Linked DNA regions of Caenorhabditis elegans. The protein of the gene in region 1 interacts with the protein of each later gene in a pairwise test. Each region holds a gene or a part of one and is shown on either strand. Other genes may lie near its edges. The genes, in order: wsp-1 and wip-1.

Region 1 (7,080 bases):
TATTGGCATATTTATCGACTTTTATTCAACTTTTCCAATTTTTCAACTTTTGGTTTCTTCGAAAATTGTTCGACGTTTGTTGGTCTTATTTTTGATCTCGATCGTATTATTCTATTCTATTATTCTGGAGCGGTAATTTTTTGAAATGACCAATCCATTGAAATTAATACAAATTGTCATTTACTATAATAGATAATCGGAAAAAAAAGTTGAAATTGAAACTTATTAAAACGTACCTGATATCTCGGAATGGTCTTACTGTAGTCTACTGTATTCCTAACTTACAATACGATATGTCATTATGTGTCACTTGATTCGAAGTTATATTGCTTACAATCTATAAAATTCTATTTGAAAAAATAGAAATTTGTTCTGACCTATCATGAATCTCAGTTTTGTGTTCCTCTAAAGCATGAGCCACTTTCAATCGACGCATGTGAAAAGCGGGCCACTTGAAAGAGCAAGGAGTAGGACAAGACGAGTACAGGATTCAATGGAGATCTACGTGATCTTACCCGTGCCTTGTGCTCTACAATGTTCAATCTGAACAAAGAACGAGCACTGGTTCAATTATAAGGTTTTCATACTTTTTATTTTCTTCTCTTTTTTACAATAGTGCTTCAAGTCTCCATCTCTTCTTCTGCAGCAATCCTATGCGGTTGTATTATGTTCATGCATTAATTTTTGAGAAGTCGACACTTGAGAGGAAGTTATAATTAGGTTTTCGTATATAGTTTTGTATTTGGCGCAGGTTATTTTTGAAACATAGTATATCTTTAAAATCTGTTAACAGAACACAAGCAGATGTGAAAAAAGTGTAGAAATTATTTAATAATAAGTGAAACTGGCTGTTCCTTCCGTTTTCCGAATGTCATTATTGACGTCTAGAGGTGTAGCTGTTCCTACGTGTTGTTGTTAGCGGGTGTGACAGTAGTCAAACGATGATTGAATAATTTTTGTGTTGAAGTACACGCTTTCAAACAAAAAAGTAAAATCTTAGTTTTTTCAGTCTTACCGCTGTTTTAAATTTGAAGGATCACCCTTAAGAACGGTGTCTCGTTTACTATAAAAGTACTGTAAACTCAAGAAAAAAATTACGATACTTCTTACAAAGTATTTCTGGTAGCCACACATTGACACCTAAGTCACAAACTAATAGAAACATTATCTTATTATTTCTCAGTTTTTTAATGTTTAACTATATTGAGACTCTCTCCGTTAGAGGTTCAGGGCAGCACATACACACATACACATACTCATCGGTGTTGACTCCGCCTAACTCTCGTGAGAAGAGAAGTGCTTCAGTTCACCTCCCCACAGTTTTCGCCCCATCATTTCGGTCACTTTTACTATTCATTTCTTACATGGAAAATTTTTGGAATATGTAAAAAATATCATTTTTTGAATAGAAATAGATAGTTGTTAGGAATTCAATTAATATTTACATCTGTTTCCTCTGTCAATATGCACATCTCACTGCCGCCAAACTGTGGTAGTGTGTTGTGTAATTTGATTCCGAATCGAAACGATTGGGCGAGAGAGAAAATTAGAGGGAGAGAAGCCGAACGGTGTGAAGAGGCGAAACGGTATACAATAATGATGTGTATTATGACGGTTTTCATTTCGTTCTGTTTCTATGATTCTCTGAATATCCGTTCGAATCACTAAGTGCTTGTACGCCAATCAGAAAGTCATGGCAATTTAAAAGATTTAGAAATGCAAACGTTTTTTTTTCCAAATTCACTTTTCATCAGACTTCAGCAAGATTTTTTGAAGAATAGGATGTTACAAATTATGCTTGCGTAAATATGCAACATTTTTTGGAATGCCCATTTTCGAAGTCAACTAGAGGTATAATTTGGAACCCTTATATACATCTCTCCTTTCAATTGTTTCACACATCACTCGGATATCTCAAGTGAATTTGTTCCATTCCTTCATTTTATGACCTGAAAATTCCGATTCTCACAGCTTTCGATTCCATAAACGTCACCTTTCGACATTTCCCATATACTCTTTTTTCTCTCGCTTTCATCTCCATAATTTGCGACGATCTTTTTCGCCTTCTTTCAGAAGTATCAGAAGTAGTAGCCATTCGAAGAATAATAACATGTGGATGGTGGTAAGCGAGGATCCGGCCGGCCGCCTCCGCTATCAGTACCACAACCTGCCGGTCGCTCAATCGTTTCCTCCTCCTTCCCACCCTCCGCCACCGTCTGCGACAACCAATCCGTCGTCCAATAAACCGTCAACCGTTTCGTCGGCGGCTCAAATTTATTCGTCCTTTCCATCCTCCACTTCCTCTTCCGGTACTGGCGGTCATCTTCACCATAACCATATGCAACGTTTTGCACGTGGAGGATGCTCTAGCTTCCCTGATTCTATGGGATCCTCACCTCGTACTACCCATCGGAGTCATACTCTACCAAATGGAGGATATTATGAAATGGAACAATATGACAATGTAAATGATTATTCGACTTATGGAGGTCCTGATTCCACGTCAAGCTCAACAAGCTCATCTGCAGAATACCAAGATCCAGTATATTCAACAAGGTATGGAGGATCCACAGGTACATATGCAAGGCGTCAGAACTATGCAAGATGTTATGTTCCAATATCTGCTGATGCATTCTATTACTATCACAATCAACAAAAGCAACTACAACAGCAACATCATCAGCAGCAACAACAGCAGCTAGCATTCCGACCTCGTCATCGATCATCACATCATCATCAAGAACCTCGTCGACATAGAGCTCCGAGTCCTGATCCAGACTATTCACCCCCACTTTCTCGAAATAAGGTACGATTTCATATCCCAGAAGAACCAGTATCTCGTGGTGACTATGTGAGTTCTCGACACGTATTCAATACGGATGACTTCGGTGACGAAGACGACGATTATGAATCAGTATCGATGAATCCTGATCCTGCACCTCATTCTGATTCCGTATTAGTTCATCGATCAAATGGTCAAGTATCTGTTATGGTCACAAAGAAAGAAGAACCTATCTACTGTTCTGGAGGAAGTGATAGTAGTACAGAGAGTAGCAGTGCAACACCATCATCTGTAGAAGCAGATACTCCACCACCAATTCCATCTCATCCACCTGCAAGGCATCGATTAGTGAAGAAAAGTTCTAGTTCGACATCAATTTCGCTTAATGGTTTGTTTTACAGACTTTAAATATTCTGATGTCTGAATCTTCACCTCATCATTTTTACTCTTCTACAATAGTTTCTAAAACCTTTTAAAATCTCCCAAAAATTACACAGCTTGTGAAGCTTGAAAATTTAAAAACGAATTTAGTTTTTCGAAACTTCTAAAAGTATAGGAAGTGTCAACAAGTTGAACTCATGATGTGTATTTGCACTTTATCATAATATTTTTGTTTACTTGATCACTATCTTTCCATATTATCGTTTTTTCTTTGAGTTGATCAATTTGATAGACAGAATCTGGTTCTATAAGAGTTTTTCACACAAATTTGGAAAGCAAACATCCAACCCAGGATGGCGAGAAATTCGGACCGATTATTTGTGTTCATGTCATGTTATGAGCACCGCCGACCGAGTACTTGATCGGCTTCAAGCGCTCAGAGCACATGAACATCATTGTTGAGCAGAAATGCTGGAGAATAGAGAAAGATGATTTTTAACTGATTGGGTGATCGAATTGAAATGAAAAAGAACAGAGCACTTGACAGTGAGAACTTCTATATTTAATAATTTATTATTTCAGGAATCGGATCCACTCCAACACGACAATTCGAAATCACACAGGCTTATGGAGGAACAATTCGAGGACCTCCAATGGCAATTGGCGGAGGTCAAGGGATAACACAAATGGGAACTATGGCTGCTGCACCACAATCACATACACATACAGGTGAATATTTTTTTGGAAATTGAAAAATGATGTTCTCGTAGTCAGTAATTGAATTTCTGAATAAAATTACGTAAACTTAAAAAAAATCACATTTTATATCTCATTTCTTATGCATACTTTGCAAAATTTGCTCATATTTTAATGATTAATAAATTGAAAAGATTGTTACATAAATTTGGTGAGAAATCTCTTCAAAAAATAACATTAATTTTAATTAAATATTTTCAATATTTACAGATGGAAATGCTAGCAGTAGTGGATCATGGTTCCGGAAAGATAAAAACAAAAAGAAGGATAAAAAATCGAAAATTAAGAAAGAGGATATTTCTAATCCAACAAACTTTCAGTGAGATTTATTCCGTTTTAATGGTTTAAATTAAACTAAATATTTCAGACATAAAGCTCATGTTGGATGGAATCAGGATAGTGGATTCTCGAATACAGTTTACGACGATGATATGGATGAAGCTACTAAAAATATTCTAAAGGCTGCTGGATTGGAAAGCAATAATCTGAATGAGGATGATAAGAAATTCGTGAAAAAATTCATTGCCAAGAACTATGATAAATATGTATCTGTTGGAAGTTTGGATCCATCACAAATCTCATCACCTCTTCCACCACCAATTCAGCAACATCCACAGATGAATCAGTCATGGAATCAGTTAGTTTTTTTGTTTTCATTTCGGAAAAAAATAACTCCAAACCAGAAAAAATAAATTTAATTATGGTCCGACATCTACTGGGTTTCGCCCCTGTGAAGATACATGCATATGCGCTGTGTGAGTCGAAACCCGGTAGATGTCGGACCATGAAAAAGAGTAATGGCAACGCAATCCCAATTATTCTCCCCCGAAATGCTTTCGATGTAGTTTTTTTTCCGCAAACTTACAAAAAAAGTTAAAAGTAATATGTTTCTGTTACAGTTAACCCTTGAATATATTTTACGACTACTGTTTTTTGTAGCTGAGAACCAGAAATATTATGAAATATTTAATATAAATACTAGAAATATTAGAAATGAAATTAGTGTTGCATTTGGTGAGGGCGTATTTCAGCCATATTAGAAATACGATAACAAAAAAGTTTTATTTTTAAATGAAAAAAAAATTTTCAGAACACCAGTGCGTCAATACAAACCATCATTCCCATCATCTGCTCCGATTGGAAGCGGTGCTTCATCATATTCCACACCTGCCGCTCCTCCACCTCCAACACGTGTCGAATCTCATGGATTGGCTCCAGCTCGTCCACCTCCTCCACCACCGTCATCTGGTACCCGTGGAATTGCACCATCAAGACCTTTACCTCAAGTAAGTAACCGGAGAGTGATTTTCTGAAAAAAATTAATTTATATTCAGGCGCCCAACTATGGAACCCCAGAGAATCGACCACATGCGGTTCCACCACCTCCACCCCCTCCACCACCACAATCATTTGGAATGGCTCCGATATCATCCGCAGCTCCTCCACCACCACCTCCTCCACCACCGATGGGATTGCCAGCAGTAGGAGCAGGAGCTCCACCCCCTCCACCTCCACCACCACCTTCAGGAGCCGGAGGACCTGCATCGGTGCTCGCAAAACTACCACCTGCTCAGGATGGAAGATCGAATTTGCTAGCGGTTAGTATACTTTTAAAAATGTTCACTATTGAATTTTGTATTCAGGAAATCCAAGCTGGAAAACAACTTCGATCCGTTCAACAAACTGCAGATTCACCAAAATCGGCTGGTGGTGATGCTCGTGGAGATGTGATGGCCCAAATTCGACAAGGAGCACAATTAAAACATGTAAGACAATTTTTAACCGAAAATTACTATTGATTCCAATTTTTTTAAACTTTAGGTGGATGCAGCTGCTGAGCAAGAACGTCGAAAGAGTACGACTTCTGGAGCCGCTGGAATGGGAGGATTGGCTGGAGCACTAGCAAAGGCTCTTGAGGAACGTCGAATGAATATGGGAATAGATGATACTAGTGATGATGATGACGATGAAGATGACAAAAATGAATGGTCAGATTAGACTAAATTATCTCATTAAACTTGTTTTCCTTCCATTTTTCGTTTCCTTTTTCTGTGCAAATCCCGTGTGAAACAGGGTAATTTTAGTCCCTCAAGTACAATTCTTGATTTGAAAAATTACAGAATCGTCAATTTCCAAGATAAATTATCATACATTTTGAAAGTGACGAATTTGTAAAACTTGTGCATTTAGTTTTTTTTTTTCTCCAAATCAGTGCCTATTCCGTGTGAATTTCTCTTCGTAAGCCCCCTTCCACACACCCGAAATACCAACAAACTTTTAAAACTCAACCAGTCTTCTTGTTTTTCTCCCGTAGATTTTTCTGTGATGCTCCCCTCTCATCCAAAACCATTGTCCCTTTTTAGACTTACAGCAGAAACGCTCATAATTTTTTTGCATATTATCATTTTTCTGGGTATCCACATAAATAATTTTTGTTTCCAATTCGATGAGAAGTAGAAGCTTTCCGGGTAGAGCTTGTTTATTCACAGGTGTACAATAAGAATAACGGCTAAAATAAATAGCAAAAAAAATGGTTCTGTGTGCTTTTTGGGAACAAATTGAGATTATGAGATGATTTTTTGTAGATTTTTGTGTGATTTATGAACAGAAAATGTAAATTTGAAAATCGCTATTACTGGTTACGGGAAACAACGGGAAAAATTCTAAGAAGAATGATGGAGTCTCGGGATATGAAGAGAAAATATTACACAATAAATTATTAGGAAACATGTTTCATAAACATCTTGATCTATAAGTGACCGCATTGGAAGGACATTTTGGTTGGGAGGAAACGAATCGGAATTGGTTGACAAGAACCCGTAAAAGTGCAACACAATCTGAGATGAAATGGGGAAAAAAGAAACAAATTTAATTCTAAATATGTTTTTTTTTGTTGAGAAAATTATTTCTAAGTGTGATGACTCGAATGCATTCGATATTTATCTTTTACAAGAGTTCCACGATGATGACGACGAGAGCTGTGATGATGATCTGATGCCAGAAGTTCCCTTTCAATGTGAATACCATCAGCTTCTAGGACAGATTGCTCATCTCGCAGGTGGCAACACTGAAATTTGTTGAATTTTCAATAAACTTCCGATCTAGAACTGATATTTACCTTCACAGCGATCGTCCTCAAGAACGGATGCTTCACAGCTTCA
Region 2 (4,864 bases), on another chromosome or scaffold:
GAAGTTTCGTGTTTCATTTACAACTATGGCTATGAAAATCCGTGTTAGATTGAAAAAAAAACAATTAACTCACTGAATTTGATGGGGAGACATGTCCGTTAAGCTCGGCTTTCGCTAGAGTTGGCCAATCCTGAGTGGCAGCAACAGTGACTGTTTCAGTAACAGGAGCAGTTGCTGCTGGGGCTGTGGATGTTTTCCATGGCTCTTTCTTTGATTCTCTGGATTTTGACTTCTCTTTGATTGGCGCTGCTTGTTTAGGAGTTGGCTCAACAGCCCGTTTCTTTTCTGGAATTGGCGCTGAAGATTTCTGAACGACTGGAGTTGCAGTAATAATAAATTGGTCTGCGGCGGTTTCGGATTTTTGTTCCTTTTGAGCTGCGGCAGCTGCGGCTTCAGCTTCTTCTGAAACTATGATTTTTTTTTGGAAAACGTGAAAACCCAAGAACACTTTCAAAAAAGGCATAACCAATTCGGTTTATGAATATATAATTTTAAAAAAATCGCACCTTTGTTTTTGAACCAAGCGTTTATAGCCGGTAATGGAGCTGGTTCCAGCACAACAGGAATCTCAACTGGTTTCACCTCTTCTGTTGCTACCTTTTCAGCTGGTTTTTCGGTTTTAGTCTCTCCTCTCGGTTTTCGATCGCCTTTTCTGTTATTACGACGTTTTCCTTTTCCTTCACCTCGTGGTCTTTCCGAACGTCCACCAACATTTTCCTTTTCACGTCTGTTATGTGGTGGATGTGCCTGCTTTTCGGGTTGACTGTTTTCGTTTTGTGTAGAAGAATGAGAGCTATCTTGCGTGTGCTGAACCTGCTGTGATGGAGACGAAGCGTCTTCCGCCTGTCCAGAAACTACTTTTGCGAATGAGAGCATGGGCTGCTTCTCGGCCATCCGATCTTCTTTTCTACTTGCTGTTGATGTTAGCAAGTTTTTCTTACCTGGAAAAAAATATTTTGGACTGAATTGGCATTGGAAAATTTTTAAAAAACGTATTCCGAAGTGCGACAAAAAAAGTTGAATAAATTTACAAGCTAGAAAATGGAAACATGGAAGAACATACTATCCACTTTTTCGATTTTGAAGAACATCTAAATTTTTTAATGTTGTTCAGAAAGATTGTTCCGGTTTTTTCAACTTTCTGAAAATAAGACGGTAAAGAATTTTATCAGAATCGTTTGAAGTTTTGGAAAACAAGAAGACTATGGATAGAGTTAATACTTTCGATAAAGTTTTTAATCCGCCTGAGATTGTACCCTTGACGACAAATGGAGAGAACAGAGAAATGAGAGAAGATATTTAACCTTTAAAAAAGTGTTTGAACTTATTTGTTAGAAACCTTAATCAATGAAATGTAAAAGAGAAATCGCTTAAATTTAAATATTTGTCCAAAAAATCGATACTATTTTATTCTGAAATATTAAAAAAAACAGAAAGAAAGAAAGACATAAAATAGCGAAAAGTTCAATTTCTGCGTAGCGCCCCTATGCTTTACCATTGCACTAGAAGTTTACACACAGTCTGGGGGTACACACGAAATGCCCGGCAGCTCGCGCACCGAGAACGCGTCAATAACTAGCCCTCATGCGTCTTTTTGGTCGCCTTGACGCGATTCTCGTGTCCGCTGGTTTTGTTGTTTTGCCGAGTAAACACACGTTTTGAAGGCCAAGACGGGACAGATTATTTTTTTTTCAATTGTTTTTCTGCATGAAAGAAAGCAATGTTTCTTTACTCTATTTTCCCCGTTTCGTAGAAATTTCAATGTCTCCTCTTCCCTAGTTTAACCTTTTCTCAGTTTTGAAATAATCTTTCGATAAAATCAATGATGACTCATAAAAGTTTGTCTTATTAAAAGCGCTCATACTTCCTTAACTTTTCACTCTTTTAGATAATGCCTCCACCACCTCCACCACCGCCGCCTCCACCTCCGCCGCCACCTCCGGCTGCATCGGCTCCGCCACCATCCAGCAATGCTCGAAATGCTCTTCTTGGCGATATTCATGTGAGTTTAAAGTTTTTTTAATTTGTAAAAATAATTTAAATATTCAGAAAGGTTTAAAACTGAAAAAGACAGTCACGAATGATCGATCAGCGCCATCTGTTGGAAAAGTCGTTGGAAGTAGCGGATCTTCATCGAATGGAAATTCTGGAAACGGAAATGGTCCGGCTGCTAAACCTCCACAAATGTCTGGCGGATTAGGAGGTCTTTTTGCGAATGGAATGCCAATGAAACCAAGCGAGAATAAAATTAGACGAGCAACTACTAGTATAGGTATATCTAAGTTTAAACTTTTTGGCAATTTAACGCAATTCACAACAAGAATTTAAAGTACTAGGAAAATATACATTTCAATGTTTTAAAGTATTTTTTCTCGCACGGAGAACAAACTGGCAAAAAAAATTGTTTTCAGTGATATCCCTTTTTAAAATAACCGTTACCCATTATAACCCTCTATCCCACTTTCAGGACCCCCTCCAACCGCCTCATCAGCTCCACCAGTACCTCCTCCTGCTCCAGTTCCAGCTGTTGAAGGTACACATTCAGTTTTTGTTGTCGTTTTCCCCCAATTTTTGGTTTTTTCACTAATTCCAATTAACCCAAGTGAAAAAACAAATGTTTTTTTCAGGAAAAAAGCCATCGATTGTCTCATCATCTTCATTTTCTCATCATGGTGCCACATCTTCGGCTCCTCCTCCTCCGCCTCCACCACCGCCAGTTTCAGTTCCAAGCTCAAAACCGACTCCACCTCCACCGCCACCAGCTCAGCAGAAACCATCGGTTAGTCATTGAGAAATGATTTTTTAAAAAAGAAAAAAATAACTGTTTGGAAGTGCTAAAGAATTACCAAAATTCCGCAGAATAAGTCATCTTTTTTTCTTAATTTTATTCGTTTGTAAAGTTTTGCATGAGTTTGAAATTCGATGTTTACGCTTTCGAGAGATTGTAAAAAAATAAAATCGAAGGATTTTTAAAAAGAAACTTACAACTTGATATATTAAATTAAGCATTTCTGTGATTTGCTGTAAAATGTGAATTAATATTTTTTGTCCAATTGTATTTATGTTTTAGTGTTTCTGTCAGTTTCAGAGTGATCGTGAACAGTTCCGAACGATGAGACCTCTACGACCAGCAAATGATGTGAAACCGACAATGTATCGACGAAGTGGAAGTTCAGAGGTTTTTTTTGTTATTTTGTCGTTTTGCAGTGTTTAGTGGTTTTTAAAGTTTCCTTATGTTTTATTCTCCGGAATTATATTGTGCGCCGAGTCTTATAGACTCTGCGTCTCACCCTCTGACAATATGATAAGCATGAGAAGTTATGTAAAGGTAGGAAGAATCGTTTCGCAATAACTAGAAATTTATAATACCACTTTATGATCTAGTTATTTTGTCCAGAAAGGTAACACCAGATGAAATAATTTTTATTTAATTTCAGGATATACCGCAAGCGACGTCGGCAACCAGACTGGCACGTCCATTAGCTCCTCCGCCAGCTCGCCCAGCTGCACCACCACCGCCAGTACCAACGCCGTCCATAGCACAAATGTCCAGCAGATTCCAGTCGCCAGCGATATCACGGTTAGAAAAATTAACGATTTTTTGAATAACAAATAATTTTAAGTTAATAGTTTCGAGTAATTTCATGTGTATGTTATCAAATTGTTTTTTTTTAAATTAAAACCGGCACAAATCGAACATTTTCAGGACTCTTGATGATGCTCCCCCACCACCTCCACGAATCGCTTCAAAAACATCAGTTGCTCCAACATCATCTCGGGCTCCACTTCCCCCGTCTTCTTCATTTGCACCTTCAATTTCAGCATCTCCAGCACCTGCCCCACCTCCACCTCCACCGCAGGCTGCTTCACCGTATCCTGGAATGAAATCAACTGCGACTGTCTCAGCGAACGTTCCATTTCATCCACTTAACAGGTATTTTTTAAATTCATTTTTTTTTCTTCGCAATCTTTTAAATTATAGGTTCCACTTTCTACCGCTTTCTCAACTGCCACCACCACCTAAAGTTTCGTCTGGAAGTATTCGTGCCTGATTTGGTGCTGCCAAAATGCCTTAAACTATTTTTCTCATTCTCACAATGCTCATGACGTTTCTTTCCATCAAAATGTTTGTAAAACTATTGAAAATAGTCCGTCAATCCCCCAAACCCGTTAAATATAAAATTCCCACTGTGATTTGATGCCCCCATTTTCACTTTCCCCTCTTTCATTTATATCCAACGCATTTCTAAATGTGTACCACTCCCGATTCTATTATTTTCTCTTCGAATAACATAACCTGTTTCTAGTCCCATTTTTTCCTGGGTTTCTTCATGGTTTCTCAATAAATCTGTGAAAATTGTCATTCAACTCTTGTTTCTAACGAAATTTATTTGTTTTTATCATTTTCCAAATATCTTCACAAAACATATATGTTTATAAAATATATTTAAAACTCAAAAATTGCAGTTATGGAGCCAAACCCATCCGATCCTGTTCTAACAGATCGGATTCAAGCAATCGTGACGACTGAAAAAAGTATTGATGAGATGATGAAGTGTGCTCGAGAAATTATTCAAGATTTGGGAAAAGAGAAACAAATCGGAAAAGTTTGTTAAAATTTTGAAGTTAAAAAATATAGAAACATATTTCTTTCAGAATAAAATGGAAGATAATGCGAACAATTTCAAAAAACTGATAACTCAAGTGGAAAATGAATTGAGCGCTCAAATGCAATACTTATCGCATGTTTGTGTTGGATCATCACATCAAGGTATTACTCATTGGAAATTATTAATTTATTTCTACACGTACTTTTCAGGATCAACATTCGGTGTACTTCAAAACTCACTTCTCGCTCAATCTG

The links.
Region 2: the proteins of wsp-1 (region 1) and wip-1 interact in a two-hybrid assay, tested with the Caenorhabditis elegans proteins (one study listed by BioGRID).

The regions. Positions count from the first base shown.
Region 1 is NC_003282.8:8,188,183-8,195,262, reverse strand, and holds wsp-1 (CRIB domain-containing protein), read left to right. Parts: upstream 1-2,067; 5' UTR 2,068-2,110; coding exon 2,111-3,170; intron 3,171-3,745; coding exon 3,746-3,892; intron 3,893-4,129; coding exon 4,130-4,238; intron 4,239-4,286; coding exon 4,287-4,556; intron 4,557-5,009; coding exon 5,010-5,205; intron 5,206-5,253; coding exon 5,254-5,517; intron 5,518-5,562; coding exon 5,563-5,685; intron 5,686-5,740; coding exon 5,741-5,917; 3' UTR 5,918-6,359; downstream 6,360-7,080. Other genes in the region: pct-1 (Cyclin-dependent kinase 17), read right to left, coding at 6,828-6,986, 7,038-7,080.
Region 2 is NC_003281.10:5,016,757-5,021,620, forward strand, and holds wip-1 (WH2 domain-containing protein), read left to right. Parts: upstream 1-1,882; 5' UTR 1,883-1,891; coding exon 1,892-2,002; intron 2,003-2,049; coding exon 2,050-2,272; intron 2,273-2,467; coding exon 2,468-2,533; intron 2,534-2,627; coding exon 2,628-2,779; intron 2,780-3,082; coding exon 3,083-3,178; intron 3,179-3,437; coding exon 3,438-3,580; intron 3,581-3,706; coding exon 3,707-3,934; intron 3,935-3,982; coding exon 3,983-4,052; 3' UTR 4,053-4,364; downstream 4,365-4,864. Other genes in the region: larp-1 (La-related protein 1), read right to left, coding at 74-402, 507-894; mdt-11 (Mediator of RNA polymerase II transcription subunit 11), read left to right, coding at 4,470-4,607, 4,657-4,771, 4,820-4,864.